Rhinolophus ferrumequinum: one gene and its partners. The protein of the gene in region 1 interacts with the protein of each later gene in a pairwise test. Links are inferred from orthologs where the notes say so. Each region holds a gene or a part of one and is shown on either strand. Other genes may lie near its edges.

Region 1 (7,441 bases):
TCTCTAGTACCAAGACTCACTGGTGGTTTGAGTAGGGAATTTTTTTAAAAGTTCCAGAAATTAACATGAATCCAATAACTCTATTTTCTTAATCCATGCTTTACTAGCTCCTACAGAATTCTAAGACTTTTTCCAAAAGAAAATAGGTAAAATTAAATAATCCTAATAAAAACTGTAAAATTGCAAAAATTCACCCCATCCAGCTGAGAAATGCAACTGGGCAACGTGTCATTTTTAAAACTCAGCAAAACCTAAGTATTCTAATGTAGGCTATCCCTTTCCAACTGCAACATGTCTAATTGAAACACTCCAGTTCAATCTTGTGTTAAGATCTGCCCAAAAATGTTTTCACTCAGCAGTTGGCACTCCCAGATAATAATATACTTATGGAGGAAAGCCTTACTCTCACTCTCTCCCCACAGACATACAAACACAGTCTGACTTTCACAGTAAGTTAGGATTCCCATATGTGTAGATAGCTTGTGTAAAAGGAAGACATAAAATTCAGTTACTGTTACACTCCTAAGTATATACGCCAGAGAGAAATAAAAACACATGCCTATATAAAAACCTGCACAGGAATAGTCATAGCAGCATTATATATAAAACAGCCAAATAGTGGAAATATCTGCCCATCAACTGATAAATAAAAATGTGATATATTCATACAACGGAATATCAGGCCATAAAAAGGAATGAGGTTCTGACATATGCCATAACATGGCTGAACCCTGAAAACATTATGCTAAGTAAAAGAAGCCAGTCACAAAGTCCAAATATTACATAATTCCACTTATATGAAATATCCAGAATCAGCAAATCTACAGACAGAAAGCAAAACGGTGGTTGCCCAGGTAGGGAAGGTGGGGGAGAGTGGAAATAATGACTCCTAATGGGTACCAGATTTCTTTTTGGGGTGCTGAAAATTGTGGTGATGGTTATACACTCAGTGAATATACTAAAAACCATTCAATTGTGCAATTGGTGAGTTGTACCAGTATGCGAGAATTATATCTCAATAAAGCTGTTTAAAAGAGTCCAGCTCCCTTCAACTCTGTAATATGTATTACTTAAGAATTCTTGGTGACCATATATTTGGAATAAGATATGAACCAAAATCATGTTTGGAAAACAGTCATAAAAAGCAGGATGGCAGTACTAATTGTTTAAAACTTCTGTTTCGTACATTGAAAATATTTCATAAGAAATATCTTTTTAAACAATGATTATTATAGTTGCAAATCACTTGTCCTAACAACTTCTTATTTAAGATATTTAGGGCAGCCAGATGGCTCAGTTTGTTGGAGTGCATGCTCTTAACCACAAGGTTGCTGGTTCGACCCCCGCAAGGGCCGGTGGACTGCGCCCCCTGCAACTAAGATTGAACAAGGGCAACTGGACTTAGAGCTGAGCTGTGCCCTCCACAACTAAGATTGAAAGGACAACTTGACTTGGAGCTGATGGGTCCTGGGAAAAACACACTTCCCTGATAGTCCTGGAAAATACACACTGTTCCCCAATGAAGTCCTGCTTCCCTTCTCCAATAAAATCTTAAAAAAAAAAAAAAAAGATATTTAGTAAATATTGACTAACCGGTGTGCTAGTGATCACATTTTTTCTTTACAAAACAGGATGAACTCAACCTTACATATCCTCCAACTGAATTCAACTACTGAGGTAGAGTTCTCCATGAGAAAATGAGTCATTAAAAAAAAAAATACTTAGATGGTATTTACTGAGAGTAAAAGGATTTTCAAAATCCTTAATGGCCTATCATCAAATGAAGAATATTTCATAACGGTGTAAATATTTTCAATTTGCAGGTGCAAATGTGCAGTGTATATTTATCCAACTGTGTGTATGAGGTATAAATAGTTCACTACTTACACAAACACTTGCTTAATTTTCTGGGAGGAAAGAAGAAGGTATCAGAAGGGTGTGGCAAACTATCCAAGGTCACACAAGTCAGAGCAGAGATCAACATTCTGGTTTACACCAAACTCCCAGGGGCACTCTTACTAAAAATTTCGCAAAGACTTTCTGTTGGTTGCTTTATGTCATTGAAGTGGGGGTTAAGGAGGGACTGTCAGTTTACTTCTAAATAGAGACGATGAGATAGCTATTTTGGAAAAACACACACTTGTGCGGGGAGTGCTTAAGAGCTAAACAAAGCTAGCAGTCAGGAGCCTGTGAAGAGCTGGCCAGTTCCGTCCGATTTCCAACCCCGTTAAAGCCTCAACTCAAGAGTCTAGTTTTCCTTCAGTCAGTTATTAAAGAAAAGAAACTTGGGATCTCCTTGGAATGGTGAGAAGATAGAAATCAAAGTAAGAAACAACACAGTGTAAACTATTGCATCCAAGGGTATGGAGGGTTTTTCTGAAAAAATGATAATGGGTGTCAGAACAGCAGTGAAGAAAGCATAAACAATTTCTAACACTGTTAAGAAGAAACGACTAGGATGGGCAGAGCTAATCTATAATTCTAAACGAATCGCAAGAAAACCTTTTCCTCGACCAAAAAGAAGCCCACGTTCCCCAGCCTGGTTCTAAAAATGGAGCCGGGTTTTCGGTGTGAGGGTATCGGTGGGGAAGAACCGCGGTGCAGAGCCGGAGCCGGGATCCTTCGCCTCCCGCAGCCCACGCAGGAAGCCCCGCTCCACAAGCGTTCGCGACGGGACCTTGCTGGACAGGTCCAGCTACGGTGAAATGGGCCCTTTAAGCTTCTAGAACCCTCGGGCGAAGAAGCGCCAGTACACATGCACACTCATTCACTCACGGTCAGACACGGACACTCACTCGCGCGTCGCCGGAACCACTGAGGGGCCGGTGGTTCGGCACAGTCTCTGGACACCTCCCTACCCAGTGAAAAACCGCCTGAGGAGCTGAGTGAGGACCAGCTCTGCCTGCCCGGAACCCCACTTCCCTCACCTGGCCCTGGCCCCTGCCCCAGAAGAGATGAAAGAGGCGGCGGCGGCGGCGGCAGCTGTTTCCGACAGGGTCCCCCAGCGGCGGTGCCTGCTGCGACCGGCGACCCTAATCTACCGCCGCCGCCATGTTGGAGGGTGAGGTCACCCCCGGCGTGCTTCCGTCACCGCCGGCGCGGGGCGGGCCGGGGCGCCGTGGGGCGCCGGAAGGGGCGGCTCGTTTTCCCCAGCGGAAGTACGGACCTTGCAGTTTTGGAGGTGTCTTCGTGCAGGTGTGACCCAGGAGAGTCGACCTCTCCGATCCCTCTTTTCCCAGGAGTCGCTCAAATGTGATTCCTGGGGTTGGTGGAGGTCATTGAGGGCTGATGGAAGGGAGGTGGGATACTGACGAGGGGAGAGGAGCTGGCGATGCCCACAAGAAGCATTGCTGCTTCCAAGAACTATGTTCCGTATCCACAGAATATGTTCTACGGCTGTATTAAACAAACAAGTATTGCGCTTTCAGTGTGTAATCGACCGTGTTCGAGAACTGTCAAGAATGTCAGGAGAGCTGCAGAGTTGGCAACCACTTGTCAGAAAAGATTTCTGGGGGTTGGGAGTAGAGAGGTCATTCTAGGTGGAGGGCCCTGCTTGAGCAGAAGCACTGTGGAAATAAAAGGAATCTTCAGTGGTAATCCATTGTGTTCGTAGCGCCCAGCGCTGGGCCTGGAATAGAATTTGCTAATGGATGTTTATTTACTTGAACCCAAGCGTCCTTTGTGGCAATCACTGAAGGTAACTAGTTGAGAGGGCCTAGTATCTTTAACCACGCTTTAGGGAAATCCAATTGTCAGTGTGTACATGAGATAAGTTGGAAGGAGAGCGTTGAAGATGAGTTAGAATGCTGTTGCAAGGAGGCAGATCAGGAATGATAAAAGCCTGATGAGGAGTGACTGCTGATGGGTACAGGGTTTCTTTTGGGGGTGATGGTTACACAGCTCTGTGAATATACTTGAAACCATTTAATTTTACACTTTAAATAGGTGAATTGTATGATATGTGAGTTATAGCTCAATAAAGAAAACAGAACCTGAACTAGTATGAGAGTGCATGGGAATTGAAAAGAAGGCTAGAGCTGGCCTCATAAGAGGCTTTAAGCCTGTGTGACTGAGAAAATGGCGGTGCATTAATAGAGGTTTGCCGAGAATAGGCTGAGTGGGCTAAGAAGGCCGTCAGGAACTCCCTAGCAGTACCTAATAACCAGTCCATATTTAAATGTTCGCGATTGTCCTAATGGCTTTTATAGTTTAAAAAAGGGGTCATGCATTGCATTTGGTGTTACATTTTTATTAGTCTCCTAGTCTTATTTTAAATAACATTGACTTTTTGAAGTATACTCATACAATGGAAATTACACAGCATAAAGCAAAAATGAATCATTGATATGTGGCATACAAAGTAATCTCAAAAACACTGTGTTGAGGGAAAGAAGCCAGACACAAAAATGTACATGCTGTGTGATTCTGTTTATATAAATTTCAGAAATAAGCAAAATTAATTAATGGTTATAGAAATCTGCACACTATTGCCTGGGGCAGGGGATGTGGGATTGACAAGAAAGGAACTTTCTAGCATGATGGGAATATTCTGTATCTTGATTGGGGTGGTGATCACACAGACATCAGAACTCATCTAATTGTACTTTTTAGGTCTGTGCAGTTCATTGTATGTAAATTTGTCCCCAAAAAGTCACATGAAATAAATCTGTGTAATTATGTTACTAATTTGATAAACGGTTAGGTTCATTTCTTTCAGATTGCTTTCAGTTTTAGGGTTTGCTTTTTTCCCTTTTTTATTTTACTTTTTAAATGTGTACTATAAGGATAGTATGTAGGTTAATGAAACAGAATAGCAATTCCAGAATGGTCAATTGATTTTTGACAAAGGTGTCGAGGCAATTCAACGGAAAAAGGGGATAGTCTTTTCAGCAGATGGTGTAAAGTAATATAGTCTTTTACAGAAATTATTTTACTTTCATCACAGCAGTGTATGCGGTTTTGTTTTGACAGATCTTATGAGTGATACAGAGTTCTAGCCTACAGCCAGATGTGATTATAAATTCTAACCTCTAGACTCTACTCATTTTATTCATTCTCATTCCTCATTTATTGAACGCTTCCTATGTAGTAGGCAGTGTGCTGGATGAGTGTAGGTCAGACATGGTCCCAGTGAAGCTGACATTATCATTGGAAAACCAGACAAAAACCTAGAAATTAAAAGAAAAAAAATTTAATTGTGGCATATCCTAAAGTAAATAAAAAAGGGGCTGGAATAGAAAATAAGGTGAAAAGGTGTTTATGAAAAGCTCTCTCCAAGAAGGGGATATTTTAAGTTGAGACCTAAACAATGAAAAACAAACTAAGGGAGAATAGAACTTCTCAGGCAAAACGTTTGGTGTTTTCCAGGAACTGAAAAGAAGCCAGTTACTCTGAGGTGGCTTGCTCTGAGGTGAAAAAGAAGCCTTGCTCTGAGGTGGAGAGCAAGGGAAGAGGGGTGATGAGCTCAGACAAGCAGGCAGGGCCAGGTCGAGCCAGGCAGCGCTCACACGGACAATGGTGTAAGGTGTTCACAAGCAAATAGAAGCCACTAGAGGATTATAAATTCGGGGGTGACTAGATGCCATCTAGGTTTTCACTCTTTCTGCTATGAGGAATCTTGGTTGGAAAGTGGCAAAAAGTGCATGTGCCTAAGTTAGAATTTCACTACTTTCTGCTACCATTTGTTTTTTCTCTTTAAAATTAATTCCTCAACTTTCAAAGAGAGATGATTTACTTTCATCTCTGTTAGGTCTCTGAATGTTAGGTCTCAGAGAGCCATGTCTGCAAGAAAACAAAATATCTGTTGGCCTGCGCCTGCAGACAGAGCCAAACTTGCCATAACAGAAAACGCCTCAAAACAGCTACAGGCAGTTGCCTGGCAAGCAGTCAACCTTTTCTGTTCAAACAATGCTACCCTGTGAGCACCGCCCCCTATATAACCCCCTTCACCTCCTTCCTCAAGGGCTATAGCCTTCTTTGCACGGCCCCATAGACTTTGCTCTCTTACAATAAACTTTCTTAACTTGCCTGACCGTGCAGGCTCCTTTATCGGCTGACCTATCAACCTCCTGTGTCTCTCTGTCTCTCTCTCTGTCTCTCTCTCTCTCTGTCTCTCTCTCTCTCTCTCTCTCTCTCTCTCTCTCTCTCTCTCTCTCTCTCTCTCTCTCTCTCTCCAGACTGAATCCTCAGCTTGGGAGCAGGTGAGACAAAGAGCTAGTAAACCATCTCTTTGTGACTAAGCTGACCTGAATATAGGTCAGTGCTTTTGGTGCTTTGGTGAAGCCATAAGTAAATAGGCTTATCGAGGAGTGGGATTTTGGAATTTACCTGAAAAACTGTTTTAATAAAGCTTCTCCATAAGACCTAAGCTAACACAGGCGGATTTGGAAAACTACCAACTAATCTTTGTACATACTAACAATATCTTTTTCACTCCAGAGACTGTACCTGTGAAGCTTACCACGTTCTTATCCGACAAGACCTGGCCTGTTCCTTGGTGAATCAGCAAAATACTGCAGAACTATTTGTCAAGAGCATTAACATGAGGGAGGGGAAACATGCACAAAAGGGGATGTTAACTATGTCTGTAACACTATTTCTGTTATTTTAAAAATGAAGGCTGAGGCTGCTGGATAGCTCAGTTGTTTAGAACTCTGAACAACAGGGTTGCCAGTTCGATTCCCACATGGGCCAGTGAGCTGCGCCCTCCGCAACTAGATTGAAAACAGCAACTGGACTTGGAGCTGAGCTGTACCCTCTGCAACTAAGATTGAAAGGACAAACTTGACTTGGAGCTGATAGGTCCTGGAAAAAACACACTGTTCCCCAATAAAGCCCTGGAAATACACTGTTCCCCAGTAAAGTCCTGTTCCCCTTCCCCAAGAAAATCTTAAAAAAAAAAAAAAAAAAAATGAAGGCTTTAGGCAAATGGGACAAATACTAATTGTCAACTTGGGGTGGTGGTACATAATTACTATTTGAATTATTCTTTGTACTGTTGATGTAAGAAACATCCAAACCTGTAGAGAATTTTTATAAGTTTATGTGAGCCAAACTGACATGGTGGAGAGCAAGATATCAAATGCTCTGGAAAATGAAAGTTTTGCAGCTTCTTTTATGCATTTGAAAATAAGGAGGGAAAGTAAGATTACATGATGGTGGGAGAAAGGTGTGAACTGGATTGCAGGATAGTTAGCAAGTTTATTTGCTTTATTGGGGGTGGTTATGGTTTCTTTCTAAGGTGTGTTAACTTGGATGCACAGAAACAATGGACAGGCCTTGCTGAAGGCAAAGATGAGCCTTTACCAAAGAAGTTATATGCCTAGGGCGTGACTACCCACCATGACCTGCTCAGTTAGAAAGTTATGATCAGATAGATCACCCTTTGAGGTTTCTTCCAAAGAACACCTTTGTTTTCATCCACAGTACTTTTCTGTATTTT
Region 2 (7,002 bases), on another chromosome or scaffold:
ACTTAGACAGTTTTGAGAGAGTAGTTCTAATTGTCGGGCTGTTGAGTAAACCTGTTTTCCTAGCGCAAACCTAGGATGAAAGCCCCTTGAAGCAGAGCAGTCTTTTCTATCAGCCTGGCTCCCCAAGAGCTCCTCTGGCTCTGCAAGGCCTAGGTCAGAAGTGGGGTAGGGAAGACTATCTGTGATCATTTCAGACAATGTCTCTAAGAAGCATAAATGAACGTGCTGGTTAGGATCTGGTTGCTTTTTAGCTCCTGGCATTCTTACGGCATTCTTGCTGTCATGGGGGGACTCAGTTAGTCTTCAGGTGTTGTGTAAAACTGGACCCCTGCTCCGCCTGTACACTTTTTGCCCGGGCTACACCCACTTACTCTGAGCCAGCCAAAACTACACTGTTCAGCAAACAGCCACCTTTAGAGAGAAGCATCACAGTCTGATTACCAGGGTAACAGCCACTGTTCTCAGAAACAGGCTTGCAGAAGCCAACATTTTGCTCTTCAGTAATGGCATTGTGTAACTGAGCAGAGAATAATCAGCTACTTCCCTTTGGCTCTTTTGCAGTTCCGTTGTTATCCCAAAGACTCATTTAGAACATTCTCCTCCCAAGTCGGGACAAGATTTAATGAACTATCATTTTCCCCATAAACCTTTTGTGCAGACACTGCTGAATTCAGTGTTCCTCTTTACTTCCAATCCTATGGGATTCTATATGGTTGAGGTAGTGAGCTCCCTGTTCCTGGAGGTGATTAAGAAGAGGCTGTAGGAATGTTTATTTGGCTGTTGTAGAAGGGACTCCTGCATTGAGATTTGGCTCAGACAGCTTCTAAAGTTCCTTTCAACCCCAGATTCCATGATATAATTTGTCTACTACAATTGTTAAACAGCTACTCACTCCACTTCAGAAGTAGTAACAGTTCAGTTCCTTGTTGGAGATGGTCTATTATTTACAAAGTATCTGAGATACTTTGTTATTGAATAACTGAAAACTCAATGACTACTCCATCATATGCACCTGGCCCAAGTATCTCCCACCATCAGAATCTGGGATACAATACGAGACCTCAACTCTGCCTTTATCTGTGGCAATCTCCGCGGAGGAAATCATCCAGCTTCCATAACAAGAAACTGTCCCTGTGGTCATCTTATTTGTTCCTGTCTTTTCCTCGGGGCTGTAACCCCCTGAGGAAGCAATATTCAGCATGCTTCTTTACTCTCGCTCTGTTTTTAATTCACAAACTACCGAATCAGCTGCCCTAACATTAGGTGACATTTCTGATGTTACCTTGGGCAAAAATTGACTTTCTCCAACATTTGCCTCTCACCTGGCCACACTCAAGTGGTCAAATGATTCTTACCCAAGTGTACAAAGTACAGACCAAAAAAAAGAAAACAAGAAAAAGAAAAAATAACCACTTTGGAAAAAGTAAGAGTCAGCCTGCACACAAGTTATTGTATAATAATCAGTATTATCATGATTTACAATTGTTATAGAGCTTGCCCATTTTCAGAGGACTTTCACATTTTTATTACTTGATTTTTACAACCCGAAAAGTATACAAAACAGTTGTGATCCCCATTTTCCAGATGAAAAAGTGATAACTCACAGTGACCTACCCAAGGTCATGAAGTTCATAAGTGGCAGATCTGGGATTCCAACCTGGTTGTGTTGTCTAGTCCAGTGCTCTACCTTCTTAATTATCCTACCTGAACATATGCTTCCAAGAGCTCTTTCGGTGTTTCAGGATGAAACAATCTAAAGGCTGACACCAGCTTAATGGAATTGAAAACCTATCTTCCTGGATGCTCCTTGAGTCTTCTGGGTACTACATTTGATGGTGAATACACAAGGCAATTGACTTTCATTTCATTTAGGATACATTCAAGCTGCTCCTCTTGTTTTTCCAGATGGGAGCAACGTCTACACATCTCTGTGGCATACTGTGTGAACAAAGACTCTTCTGCTCTGCACACCTTGCTCTGAGTAGACACTACCAGAGATCAGAACTCGTAGCTTCTCTCTTTTATCATGGAACCTAGAGAAGCTCTCAGTACTCAACCAAGTCAGCAAGATCCCTAAGGTCCCTGCAGCCTCCTTGTCAAAGCAGGGATTTAGAGTCTGGGCCATGCCCTCAGAAAGGGTAAGTCTGTGATATTTGCTAGATATGGTCACCCATACACATGCACGCACGTGCACACACACACACACACACCCCTACTCATATCCATTCCCTGTGGTAAAGCCATTGAAGACTTTATTTTCATTTCCTGAACTGAGATTGGCCTCCTCAGCTATGGCCAAGCCTGAATCCAACTTGCCCAATTCCCCAGTTTCCTACTGTTGCAAACAGGTCCAAATTTTGTATCAAGCAAGCAGTTATTTAGTATATCTGAGGGCTAGCCAGCACTCAGTTGCTTCCAGCAGAACCAGGGATGTCAGCTGACCTGGCCATTACCAGGGCCTGGGAACCAGGGTGAAAGAGAAGGTAGAAGGAAGTGAGGGGGTAGGAGGACACATGACCACATCCAGCCCGCTGGGCACTCTCTCCAAGGACCTGTGGGACTCTCCACGCACTGCTGGAATTCTTTGGCAATAAAGCATCAATCTCAATACAGCAGAGAAGGAGTTAATCCAATTGAGTGCTAAGGAATTAAAAAGAAAACAAATGCCAAAACACAACTCATTTAAACTATTGAAAACCCGGAACCCCAAAGTTGGAAATTCTCTTGAGCATTCCTGTGCCTGCTTGAATCTTCCATGCTAAAGTTTTTGAAACTCACCCATGGCTTTGGGACTCTGACTGCAATTGTAGCCGGCTGGCTAGTCTGCTTTGCGGCTGACTTTGTGCAGCTGGAAGGATCCTGGTCTCTCCAGTCTCCTTCTTCGGTCCTTTACTTTTTCTCTCTGAGTATCTTTGTCCTCTTCTCCAGCAATGAAAAGGGCTTTCTGATTGACAGCCAACCCCCTTAAAGGGACAGGCCCGCTTTCCTCCTCCTCTCCTCCTCCCCTTCTCCTCCTTTGTCCCCACCTCCTCGGGGATACTCCCTGCTCTAAGGGCTCCATCTTCTCTTTCTGCCTTTCACTGCCAATTGTTTCATTTTCTTTTTTTTCCTAAGACTTGTCTGTGTGGAATTTCACTTTGCTGAAGAGACATCTGGAAATGTGGTTTTGGGGTGGAAATAAAAAGAAGAGGTCCTGGAAGCCTCCAACTGATCCTCAGATCTATTTGGTGTAGGATGTGACCGCACAAGTGTCAGAAGCCATGGAAATGGTAGCTCTGGTGAAGGGTCAAGGTCAAAACCCACATGCTATCTCCCAGAGTCTTTCCAACTCTGGCCCCAACCCCACCCCTCACTCATAGCTGCCCTTAGCCTTGTCCACCTTTCCCTTCACCTGACTCCTTAGCAAATAAGCACCCCCCCACACCCAGCTCCATAAACACAATAAAGAAAAATTTGTATTTTAAAATAATTTCCTCCAAATCCTCCAACTGAATGAGGACAAAATACAAGCTGTTAATTCCACGAACAGATTGTGATAAAGCTAGAGGAGGCTAGAATTATAATAATTTTATCGAGAGGACAACAGAGACCCAGAGAGCGGGCAAGACCTGTGCAGGTTCACAGAATAGGCTAAAGAAAATGTCAGAGTTAGGAATGTGGGTGATTTCCAAGGAGGGTAATTGACTTTGAGACAAGTCAAGAACATGATCTGGGAATCACGTAGTCAGTATCCCATCCCGAGAATGTAGTATCATCAGAGAGCTGAGGCCAGGCTGGTGAGAGGCAGGGAGTGGGTTGGGTTGAAGCAGCAGGTAACGGTGAAGGTGGAGAGAAGGCGAAAGTAAATATAGTGCTTGCCTCAGAGAAAGAAACACTAAGAAAAAATGGCCAAGCAGCAAAAATAGGGGAATAATATATGAAACCTGCTTTACCAATAATAGGTGTTTCTAAAGACTATGAAGGTATTTGAGTGCCCAGGGCCAAGTGGGATTAGCCAGGGAAGGTTTTCTATTATAGAAAAGATGAATCTTAACCAGTGTCTATCTAGGCTCCTTGTTAGTGTTTTCTATCCCTTCAGGAGCCTCAGAAAGGCATAAATCTCTTGAACCTGAGGCCCACATCCTACCATGGGTGGCCTGTAAGGAAACTGGTTGGCAAATAACTGGAGGAATACCTGTTGGAAGACTCCAAGGAAAGAAGGTATGGACCCCTAGAGTTTTTCCTATGGCTTTGCCTTGGGGTCAGAAAGGAGAGGAAGGAGGTGCTGAATAGAGCTTAGAATCTTCCTGTTGGGGGAGAGAGCAAGATTGTGTCTTACAGTTTTCTCTTTGAGCTGTGACCTTGGACTTGTTTCTGGCTTGGGCTCTGTCATTAGGAAAAGAGTGAGTCTCATGCAGATGCCCTTGTGGGTCTACTAGAGTCCTGCATCCTGCAGTGTTTAAGGCTCTTATAGCAGCTCAAGGAGAAAGGACCCCTGTGAAGGCTGCCTCTTTTGCAGAATAGTACAGTAGGCTTCCAGAGCAGATCAGACTTAGGCCGTATGACTGAGGGTACAGAGGCCCGGGACATCTGACCTCTCCAGCCTTTCTCTCCAGCCATAGATTTTACCTGCTGAGGTAGCTGAGTTGTAAGATTGTGCCAACAATTAACTTCTGGATGGTTCTTGTCAGAATGGCCCTGGAGAAGGAGGATCAAGAGCAAGAAATCCCCAGATGTGTGCCCTCAGCTCCTCAGATGACAGAAGGAACTGAGTCCAAACTTTGGAGGTTCTGATTTAAGGATGAGGGAGATGGTTTTTCACAGCCCGAATAGATGAGATAGCCCTGCATGCAGGGGACATTGCTCATGCTGAGCCCTCTCACAAATCTGCCCCTGGATTCTCAGCAGCAGCAGCTCTGGGGACTCCTTGGCTGTTCGGAAAAAAAGATGTATTCCCAATAAACCCGCAGATACCAAATTTTCAACTATGTTGACCTACCACACATTTCTCTTCGTCTTTCCTCCATCTCTATTGCCTTACTATTCATGCTGTCTTTTCCCCAAGTCTCAATCTCTCTGTGTCTCTGTTTCTCTGTCTCTGTTTGTTTCTTTTTCTCTCTCTGCACTCCTTGATGGAGTATGCCTTCTTGTCTCCATCTTGTTCTTATGCCCAGGAATGGGAAAGGGGCTCGGCCAGGTGACTGTGTCATGCTTACTGTCCTTGGTGCCTTAAGATTCCCAGTTCCCCAGAATCTAGCGTGCTGCAGGCAGTTACTCTGGAGTCCTGACACTCTGCCTCAGCACCCACTCACCACCCCTTCTCCTGAGCCTTTCCCACAGCCTTCATAGGGTTTCTGGTTTCCAGACTCCCAAAGGGACTTTTTTATCCACCCAACCCCACCTATTCCTGTGATTCTGTTTCCAATGGTTCTACTGGGTGCCCTTGGCAAAATGTTTTCCAGTCCAGCTGGGTACCCAGCAGTGCCCAGGGATTCCTCAAGAGGGCACTGCCAGCCTTCTTGGTGGCAGCCTGCTGCCTGCACTGGGTGCCTGTAGGAAAAATGGAGGATTTTATGAAACTAATAAACAGTTGGCTTCACTCAATTCTGATAGTATCTCAGAGGAGAGGATCTTGGCCCCCTTGATCATAGCTTACTTTGGTTGCGCAGCTTTCTTGCAAATAATTACAAAACATTTGGGTATTACCCTCCACTCTCTGCTCTGTGATCCCACAGTACCTGGTTTTTGAAGGCCACTGGACATGTGGGTTCTCTTTGCTCCGTTGTATAGAGTGAACTCTGAAACTCAGGGAAGTGAGTTTCTCCCAGGAAATTAAATAAGGGCTCAAGTGCCCAATCTGGTGGTCCACTTCTCCATGTCTACATAAAAGATCGCAAAGGGGAACAGAGAAGGCACAATACCAGTGAAAGTTGGGGGGTCACCTGCCAGCATTTGGGCTCCTGGAGCTGAGGTTCTGCTTCTCCTCCCCAAGATAATGTCTTCCCAGATCAAGCTTAGGAATGCAAGAGGCTTCTTCTTACAGCTTTTCTAGCCCTGACACAGAAGGCTGGTTGGCTGGCTGGCTGGCTGGCTGGCAGGCAATATATTATGCTCTATGTACTTGCTGATAGAACTCCCCACACCCAACCTCATGCCGATTGGCTTAGCCGTGCCTTTCTGGCCAAGAGAACTGAGGGCTGAGGGCCAGAGATGTCACATACTTTGAGCTGGTGTGGGCGGGGGGAGTGGAGGCTGCTCTTCTTCCTCTCCTGAAGATTCAGGGAGCAGTGCAAGGATGGATGGGGGCAGGTGATGAGTTGGATATGTATTCGAGAAGGGGAGATGCCCATGACTTGGGGATAAAGTGCAAGGTAGACTGGAAGCCAAAATAATCAGATTAATAAGCCCAGGAAAGGAGTGCCTGGGGAGCACCAATCAGCTACTAGCACCGTGGATAAATCAGTTGTCCACATAACCCACCTCCACCAACATGGAAATTTGGCCAGCTTTGGCACAGTGGGCCCTGCAGAGAGGCGGCATGTTTGATATGATCTCTGAGCACAGCAGAAATACTTCTACTGTCCTTGGCTGTCAAATACCCAACTCCTGAGGATCAATGTTTTTTTGTTCCATTTTTCTCATGGGGTACAGAAAAATGCCACCCAGCAGGCAAGGGACAGAGCCACCTCGAGGTAATGCATCTTTCCAGACTCACATTGCTTCGAAGTTGCTTGAGAGATTGTGCTGCTCCAAAAGAATATCTGAATAGAAAGCCTCTGCCCTGAGCAAGAACAGCCACTGGGAGGATGAACAGGCTTCAGGCTGCTGTGGCCCGAGTCTCCAACTCTCTGCACTTCTCAGGCTAGCAGGAGGCCCACATTAGAAATCCAGGCAGGGCAAGTGGTATGCAGTTTATAGGATCCGTGGGATTCAAAATCAGTCAGTGGGGATCCGATAATACTAAGGACTTTGTTACATTTGTTAGGCATGGTAATAGCATGGTGATGGTGGTTTTAAAGAGTT
Region 3 (7,159 bases), on another chromosome or scaffold:
TTAGCTGTAGAGGGCGCAGCTCACTGGCCCATGTGGGAATCGAACTGGTGGCCTTCAGCGTTAGGAGCACAGCGCTCCAACCGCCTGAGCCACCGGGCCAGCCCTCGAGAATTTTAGTCAGTGCACACCACTGTGAGTGTACTTCATTGTCACTGAATCATACACCTTAAATGATAAATTTTGTTGGAGGTAAAAAAGGAATAAAACGTTTTTTCTTACTGTGATCACCGCTCTCCCTAACACCCCTTCCCAAATAAAGGAGATGTCGTTTCAATGTCAGCTTTACTCAGGTAACAAAGATAGATTAGGGCCAGAAGGACGGGGGTAGGCGGCGTGGGAAGCCACCTGGGGTCACGGGAGCAGGCAGAGGCCTGGTTGAGGGGCCTGGAACCTGGAATCAGAACAGAGGGAGGGTGTTTGGTGTGGTTTCGAATTCTGCAAACGGTTCCCACACATCTCCAAATGGATCGGCGCCTGCAGATGGGAGTCTGGGAGCCTGGCTCCCGGACCCGAGGGCATTTCCCTCACTGGGCCTTTCTGGGAGGTCGAGGTCCTTGCAGGATAGGAGGGGGCAGATGTCTGCATGCCTGGACGCCCAGTCAGTTGGTCTTGAGCCTGGGGCTCTGGAAGGCCGACAGGGAGATGAGGAACTGGGCAGCGTAGTAGGTGGCCATGACCACCAGGCGGGCGTGGGGCAGGGGCTGGATGAAGGTGTTGCAGGCCAGCACGGTATCCGAGATGGTGAAGAGCAGCGCTCCCCAGCGGGCACTCCCACCCCTGGCCAGGCCACGCCACAGCATGGTGGCGAGGGCCAGGGTATAGGCTGTCAGGAGCAGGACCATGTCGGGGGAGAGGTGCAGCCGCAGGAGGCAGTAGAACGGGAGGGAGGCCAGGACAACAGGCAGCAGGAGGCCCAGCTGCAGGGGCCTGAGGCCAAAGGCCCAGATGTAGAGCATCTGAGCCTTGGTGAAGGCAGCCACGCCTGGAGGACACAGGTTCAGGGCACCCAGTGAGGCCTTCGCTGCATTGCCTCTCCACCCCCGAGCCTGAGGGTCAGGACTGCCCCCGAGCACCAGCTCCCACCCCGGCTGTGCCACCCCGCTTCCTTGGTGGCCTCGCCTCCCCTGCCCTTGGGCCACGTGGTGGGATCTGTCCTTAGGCTGCTCAGAACTGTCCACTGACACCCCTCCCCCACCACTGCTTCCCACTTGCTCCATGACCAGACCTGTTTGCACGCACACACCAGGCACACTCCCACCTTGCTTGCCCCTCTGCCTGGACCATCCTTCCTGCATCCCCTCCAAGATGTCCCTGTCTCAGCAAGGCCAACCTCAACCAGTCTACTCAAGGCTGTGACACCTAGACCTCTGTTGTTTCCTCCATGCCTGCCACACACCTTCTAAAGGAAGGCTGCCCAGCCCCTCAGTGGACTGAGCTCCATGAGGACAGGGGTCTGGATGGGTGTTGGTCACTGCTATACCCCAGTGCCTTTGAACGCCACCTGGCTATGGCAGGTGCTATCGGGTAGCCGCCCCTGGACCCCAGACCCCTCCCTCAGTGTGGAAGTCCCAAAGAGACAACATGGCCCTGCTCCTCCTGCCTACCGTAGGGGAAGGCCTCGGGCCAGATGAGAAAGACGTCCCCACAGGCTGAGAACAGCAGGGCCACCTGCAGGAGACAGCTGTAGCACCCGCCAGAGCAGGCCCGCAGGAACCCCACCAGGCACAGCACAGGCAGGCACTTGACCAGGGCACCAACCCAGGACGGTGGGTCCTCAGGGATCCAGAGGAGGAAGTAGATGGCACAGGTGAGGAAGAAGGGGCTCAGGCACCTGACCAGGTGTGGCTGCTTCGGGAACAAAGGGCTGCTGAACCACTGGAGCTCAGCCTAGCCCCCTGTGATGAGGCTCGGGAACCCACCTGACCTCAGGGACCCTGCCAGCCCCCGGCCCTTGGAGGTCAGGCCCCACCCGGCCAAAACTCAAGTCTTGGGGCTTCCATCCCACCCCCACCTAGGGATCCCAGGACTTCCAGTCCCACAGAACCCAGCCTATGGGGAGGCCAGGGCCCCCCGATTCCTCCAGGCTGCTTGAGTCCCCAGGAACCCAGGCCCAGCCCCCCTCCCACACTCAGGGGCTCTCACTTGGACTGCGAAGTGAGGATTTCGGGGCAGCCCCTCTTTCCGGGCGTCCATATCGGCCTGTGACCCCCCAGAGTGGTCTGTATGGGCACCGGTGGCTTTGGAAGTGGAGGGGACTGCGTACGGTTACACGTTAACCCGGGAGTGTCCTGTGGACTCTGAGACTGATATCGGCTCAGGGAGATGCTTCCCCCACCCGGCGATGGCCCTGCCTGGCACTTGCTGATAAGGTGGCCCATCAGGTTGCAGGGGTCACTCCTCCGGCCCCCGCAGGACCTAGTTTCCTCCCCCTCTGCCTGGGAGGCTGTGGGTACAAATGCCTGTCCTCTAGTCCTGTGCCTAGCCACTCAATGCCCTCCTCTCCATGTGGGGTGGGGGGACCACCCTGCCAGAACAAGAGGCAGGCTGCCTTCTACCCCTCACCACTCTGGGACCCCAAGAAGGCCACCCAGGGGTCCTTCCTACACTTGGGCCTCTGGATGGTTGCTTCCCGGTGAGAGCCCAAACCACTCTGCACCACCCCCATGCCGTGGCCTTCACCATAAGCACTTCCTGATCAAACGCCACAGTTGTCTGAGGTCATCATCAGCCTGCAGCCCACAGCTTTGGATGTCACCAGAACAGTCTTCCCACACAGGTCTGGTCGTTAACTTCCCCTTTGGAGGGCACAGACCTACTGGGCACCCATTGGCTTCACTCGCTCGCTTCCTTGGCTGCCCCCAGCCTCCCACTGCTCCACCAGAAAGGAGGTGGCTCAGGGCACGTAGCTCCACAAGGTCCCCTCCGCGGCCGGCCAGGGTAGGTGACGGGTGAGCAGTGGACATGTGGGGTTGGGGAGACTAAGGGGACCCTCGGAGACGGCTCCCAGATAAGGCTGGGCAATGCCCAGCTCCTCCTCCCAGGAAAGCCCTTCCTGGTCTAAGCAGAAGTCCCACCCCCAAGAGTGTGTGGAGTTTTAAGAGCCTAGTTCCACATTCTGAAGGTCAAACCCCAGAGGCTGAGGGAGGTGCGGGGACAGTTCAGGCCCCCCCCACCCCATGTCCCAGAGCTCAAGGTCTGAATGGCAGGACTCTTAAACTGTCTTATTTATTTATATTTGCAATATGAAATAGAAGCTCGGCACGAACACACAACACTCACGCCAGCCTGGGGACAGGGAGCTGGGACAAGGTCACTTGGCAGCTGGGCTGGACCCCAGACCCTCAAGCACAGGAGGGGGACCCCAGCCGGACCCCTGCCAGACCCCCACGCTGGGGTCCATGGAGGTGCAAGGGTCTCATGAGTGTATCAGGGCCTCATGGGAATGTCACTAGGGAGGCCCCCTTGGACTGGGACCCCCAGGTCCCAGACAGCCACCAGGCCCGGCAGAGGGTCCTTTAGCTCCCAGCCTGGGGGAAAGTGCAGGGTCCAGGGTGAGGGGCTGGGCAAAGGCACGGCCCCCACTCGGGCCCTCCCCTCCAGGTGGACCTGAGCTGAAAGGACGAGTGTGGGTGTGGGTGTTTGCACGGGGTGAGGAGGGTGGGGAGGAAGGAGCATGGTGGGAGGAGAGGGAAGACTGTGTCTTGGGAACCCCAGTGAAGCCCCAGCTGGGGCAGGGTGATGGTCCAACCTCCCACCCCGCCTGCCCTGGGGCGTGGCTTCCTTCTGGCTCTCTTCCCACCCACTCTCTCCTCCCTCAATATATATATATAATATATAATATAGGTCTCTCTCTCTCTCTCTCTCTCTCTCTCTACTGGACTCTATATCTTTATTCTAGGAGACAAAACTCCATCATTTCTTTTCTCAGTGCAAATGGGGGGGGGAGGGGACCTGTCTCCCTGGCACCAGCCTCCTGGGAGTCCAGAGGAGAGAACGTGGGGGGTGGGGATGGGGGGATGGGGCAACGGGCCATTGTGGGACCTGTCCTGCCCCCGCCCGGGCAGGGTCCACATGCAGGACGAAGATTTGGCTGCCACCACCGGGACCAGGCAGTTACCTAGGAACCAAGAGGGACACCTGAGTGAGGAGCTCGCCGGCGCACCCGCCGCCCCTACCCCCGACCCCCTGGCCCCTGCCACTCACTGGGAGCCTGGGGACACTGGCCCTCCCGGGGCAGAGGTGTTGAGCATTGGAGGCAGCTGGAGGGCCTGGGCACTAGCAGGGGAGAGGAACATGAGGGGTCAGTGCCTCCTCTCAAACCACCCCCACCCGCTGCAGGGTCTCTCCATGCTCACCTCTGGTTTTGGGGGAGCCGCAAGGGCTCTGGGCTCTTCTCCCCCTCCACGGTCTGGGGGGGCTGGTAGGCCCCAGGGGCTGGGACAGAGGTAGTAGGGTCTCTGGTTGCACTGTGGGAAGAGGTCAGTGGGGTTACCGTCAGCTGTTTGCTGAGTATTGAAGGAAGGCACAGCCCAGGGCCTCACATCCAAAGACCCTGGGAGCTGTCCCAGGCAGGAGCTCAAGGTTGGCTGCGACGGGCTCCACACACTCCTGTCCTTCCTGGAAGCCTCTTTCCTGCCCCTGAGGCTGGGCTGGGGGCCCTGGGCTCCAGGATACTGTATGGCTCCCATGTGGGTACAGGTACAGCCCTGGGGCAGGGACGACCCAAGGGCCTGACTCTATTCACCTCCCCGACGCGGCCCCCCAGAAGCTGCTCCCCAGCCAGTCACCTGTCCAAGGACTTGTGGGCAGAGCTTGTCCCTCTGAGGGTGGCCTGGAGGTCCCCGAAGCTGACCAAGGCCCGACAGGGGGCTGTGCAGAGGAGAGAGGCCCAGAGATGTGAGACTTGGCAAGTCCTCCAGACTGGAGGTGTGTGTAAGGCCAGGGGACAGCAGGGGGAGGGCCGCAGCGGGGGGGACGGTAGGCAGGAGGGCATGCTGGACGGACAGTGGCAGGGGCTCACCCGAGGGCTCTGCTACTTTGCCGCCATCTGTGGCTTCCTGAGGTGCTGAGGTGGGTGTGGGGTCCTGAGACCTGGGAGGTGAGAGAAACAGCCCAAGTGGGCAGCTGGGGTCAGCCCTGGAGCAAAAGGGAACCAGAACCTGGCTCCGCCTCCCGGTCCTGCCTCCTAGCCTCACCTGAGCTGCAGGGCGTTGGGGGCTGCAGGGCCGGCCCCGTTGGAGGCAGGGAGGTCCTGGGGCATGCAGAGGGGCCCCTGGGAAACAGGGGGCCCAGAGCACAGCTCTTTGTCCCCGGAGTCTTGGGAGCCAGCCAGGGCATTTGTAGGCACTGGGTCAAAGGTAGCTGTCCAGCTGGGGCCTGGTGTGGGGGCAAGAGTGAGCACAGCAGGCAGACACCCGCGAGCCCCTGACCACACCCTGCCTGCGTGTTCACCCACCCGGAGGCTGTGGGCCGGGGCTGGGGTAAGAGGAGGGCCCGGCCCCTCCACGAGCCACCCGGCCGTCTTCCTCGTCGTCCTCCTCGTCGTCCTCCTCCTCCTCTTCCTCCTCCTCCTCGCTGTCTGTGCTGCCTCCACTCCTGCCCCCAGAAAGCAGCCATGAGCTGCTAAGCTGGGGCAGGGACAGAGTGGGAAGGCACCCTGTCCCCACCTCCCGACCCCCCCAGAGCTGACCCCAGGGAGCAGTCTGTGAAGGAATCAACAGATGATAAAAATGGATTGGGGGGACACACACAGCAGGGAAACCCCGGGATGAACGGGTGAGGGCCTCCCTAGGCCCAGGGTGTGCCAAGATGCCCAGAGAACAGCCCACAATGGGCAGGCCGGTGGGCAGCACGAGGGTCAGTGGAGAGTGCCAACGCCAGCATTACGGGGAGAAAGGCCCCGCCTCATCTCGCTCACAGGCCCTCCTGGCGCCTGAACCGCCCTCGCAGGTGGGCTGACTTGATGCTCTTCCCCCAACTACAAACTCGGGAGTACCTTTGTCACCAGTGTATCCTCAGCTTAGAGCAGCACTGGCACGTGCAGCTGCTCCCAAAACACTGCTGAGTGTTGACTAACACATGACTCGAGACCATGGACAAAGTCCTACTGGCCTACATGTCCACCGATGGGGAATGGTTGAGCAAATGCTGAACGCACCCACCATTCGCCACGGGAGCAAATGGTGGAAAGGAATACATCTTTTCTCACTGAAAATAAACTAAGACATTCGGCAAACGGGGGACAGAGGAGAGCTTCCCAATCCCGTGCACCACAACCCACAACTAACACCACACTCAGTGGTGGAAACCGAACATTCACTGTTGGAACACTGTTGAAAGTAAAAAAGACCTAAAGACATGGAAACACATCCCATGTTCATGGATTAGGAGATGGGATATCATTAAATGGTACACTCCCAACCTGACCTACAGGTTCAAGGCCATCCCTCTCACAATCCCAGCCAGCTTCCTTATTGAAACTGACAAGCTGATCCTAAAATTCACACGGAATCTCAAGAGAGCCCAGAGATTCAACACAATCTTGAACAACGTGGCAGGACTCATACTTCCCAACTTCCAAACTTACTATAACACAACAGTGATCAAGACCAAGTAGCTCCGGCACAGACAGAGGAAACCCTCCACACAGTCAATCGACTGCCGACAAGGGTGCCAAGACCATTCAGTGGGGGAAGGACAGTCCTTCCCACAAGCGATGCTGGGACAGCAGCATTCCCACACACGAAAGAATGAAGCTGGACCCCACTTCACACCACGTACAAAAAAATTAGCTCAGAATGGACCCAACTTTAGATGTAAGAGCTAACACTATCAATTCTCAGAAGAAAACACGGGTGGATCACTGCCTTGGATTCCTCAAGGACACACATAAGGGCAATGAACTTGGTTAGTTCCATGATGGCACACCCACAGATGGCAGGTGAACATACCCACACCTACCAGAAGGATGAACCTCAAAGCAGAAGGGACAAAACTGATCTATAGGACAAGATGTCAGGACAGCGTCAACCTGGGAAGGGTGGACAGTGGCCGGCAAGGGCCACGGAGGTCCATGGGGCCATACAGTCAGGATCCGTATACTCGTCTGCATGCTTGTTACACATCGATTAAAAAGTTAAAACACTCTCATTCTCAAATC

The links. The genes of interacting proteins can lie anywhere in the genome.
Region 2: the proteins of BCL2L13 (region 1) and PLP1 interact in binary tests that used the Homo sapiens proteins (3 or more experiments, as listed by UniProt). The two-hybrid records come from large-scale screens. The link is inferred for Rhinolophus ferrumequinum from reciprocal best matches to the Homo sapiens genes BCL2L13 and PLP1.
Region 3: the proteins of BCL2L13 (region 1) and TMEM86B interact in binary tests that used the Homo sapiens proteins (3 or more experiments, as listed by UniProt). The two-hybrid records come from large-scale screens. The link is inferred for Rhinolophus ferrumequinum from reciprocal best matches to the Homo sapiens genes BCL2L13 and TMEM86B.

What each region holds. Positions count from the first base shown.
Region 1 is NC_046293.1:91,128,311-91,135,751, reverse strand, and holds the start of BCL2L13 (bcl-2-like protein 13), read right to left. Parts: upstream 3,093-7,441; 5' UTR 2,928-3,092; intron 1-2,927. UniProt on the Homo sapiens protein: May promote the activation of caspase-3 and apoptosis.
Region 2 is NC_046284.1:51,142,039-51,149,040, forward strand, and holds the start of PLP1 (myelin proteolipid protein), read right to left. Parts: upstream 3,071-7,002; 5' UTR 2,783-3,070; coding exon 2,779-2,782; intron 1-2,778.
Region 3 is NC_046298.1:48,413,605-48,420,763, forward strand, and holds TMEM86B (lysoplasmalogenase), read right to left. Parts: upstream 3,071-7,159; 5' UTR 2,194-3,070; coding exon 2,143-2,193; intron 1,888-2,142; coding exon 1,605-1,887; intron 983-1,604; coding exon 600-982; 3' UTR 266-599; downstream 1-265. Other genes in the region: PPP6R1 (serine/threonine-protein phosphatase 6 regulatory subunit 1), read right to left, coding at 4,114-4,117, 4,204-4,275, 4,356-4,466, 4,788-4,869, 5,021-5,091, 5,196-5,376, 5,456-5,595. UniProt on the Homo sapiens protein: Catalyzes the hydrolysis of the vinyl ether bond of choline or ethanolamine lysoplasmalogens, forming fatty aldehyde and glycerophosphocholine or glycerophosphoethanolamine, respectively and is specific for the sn-2-deacylated (lyso) form of plasmalogen.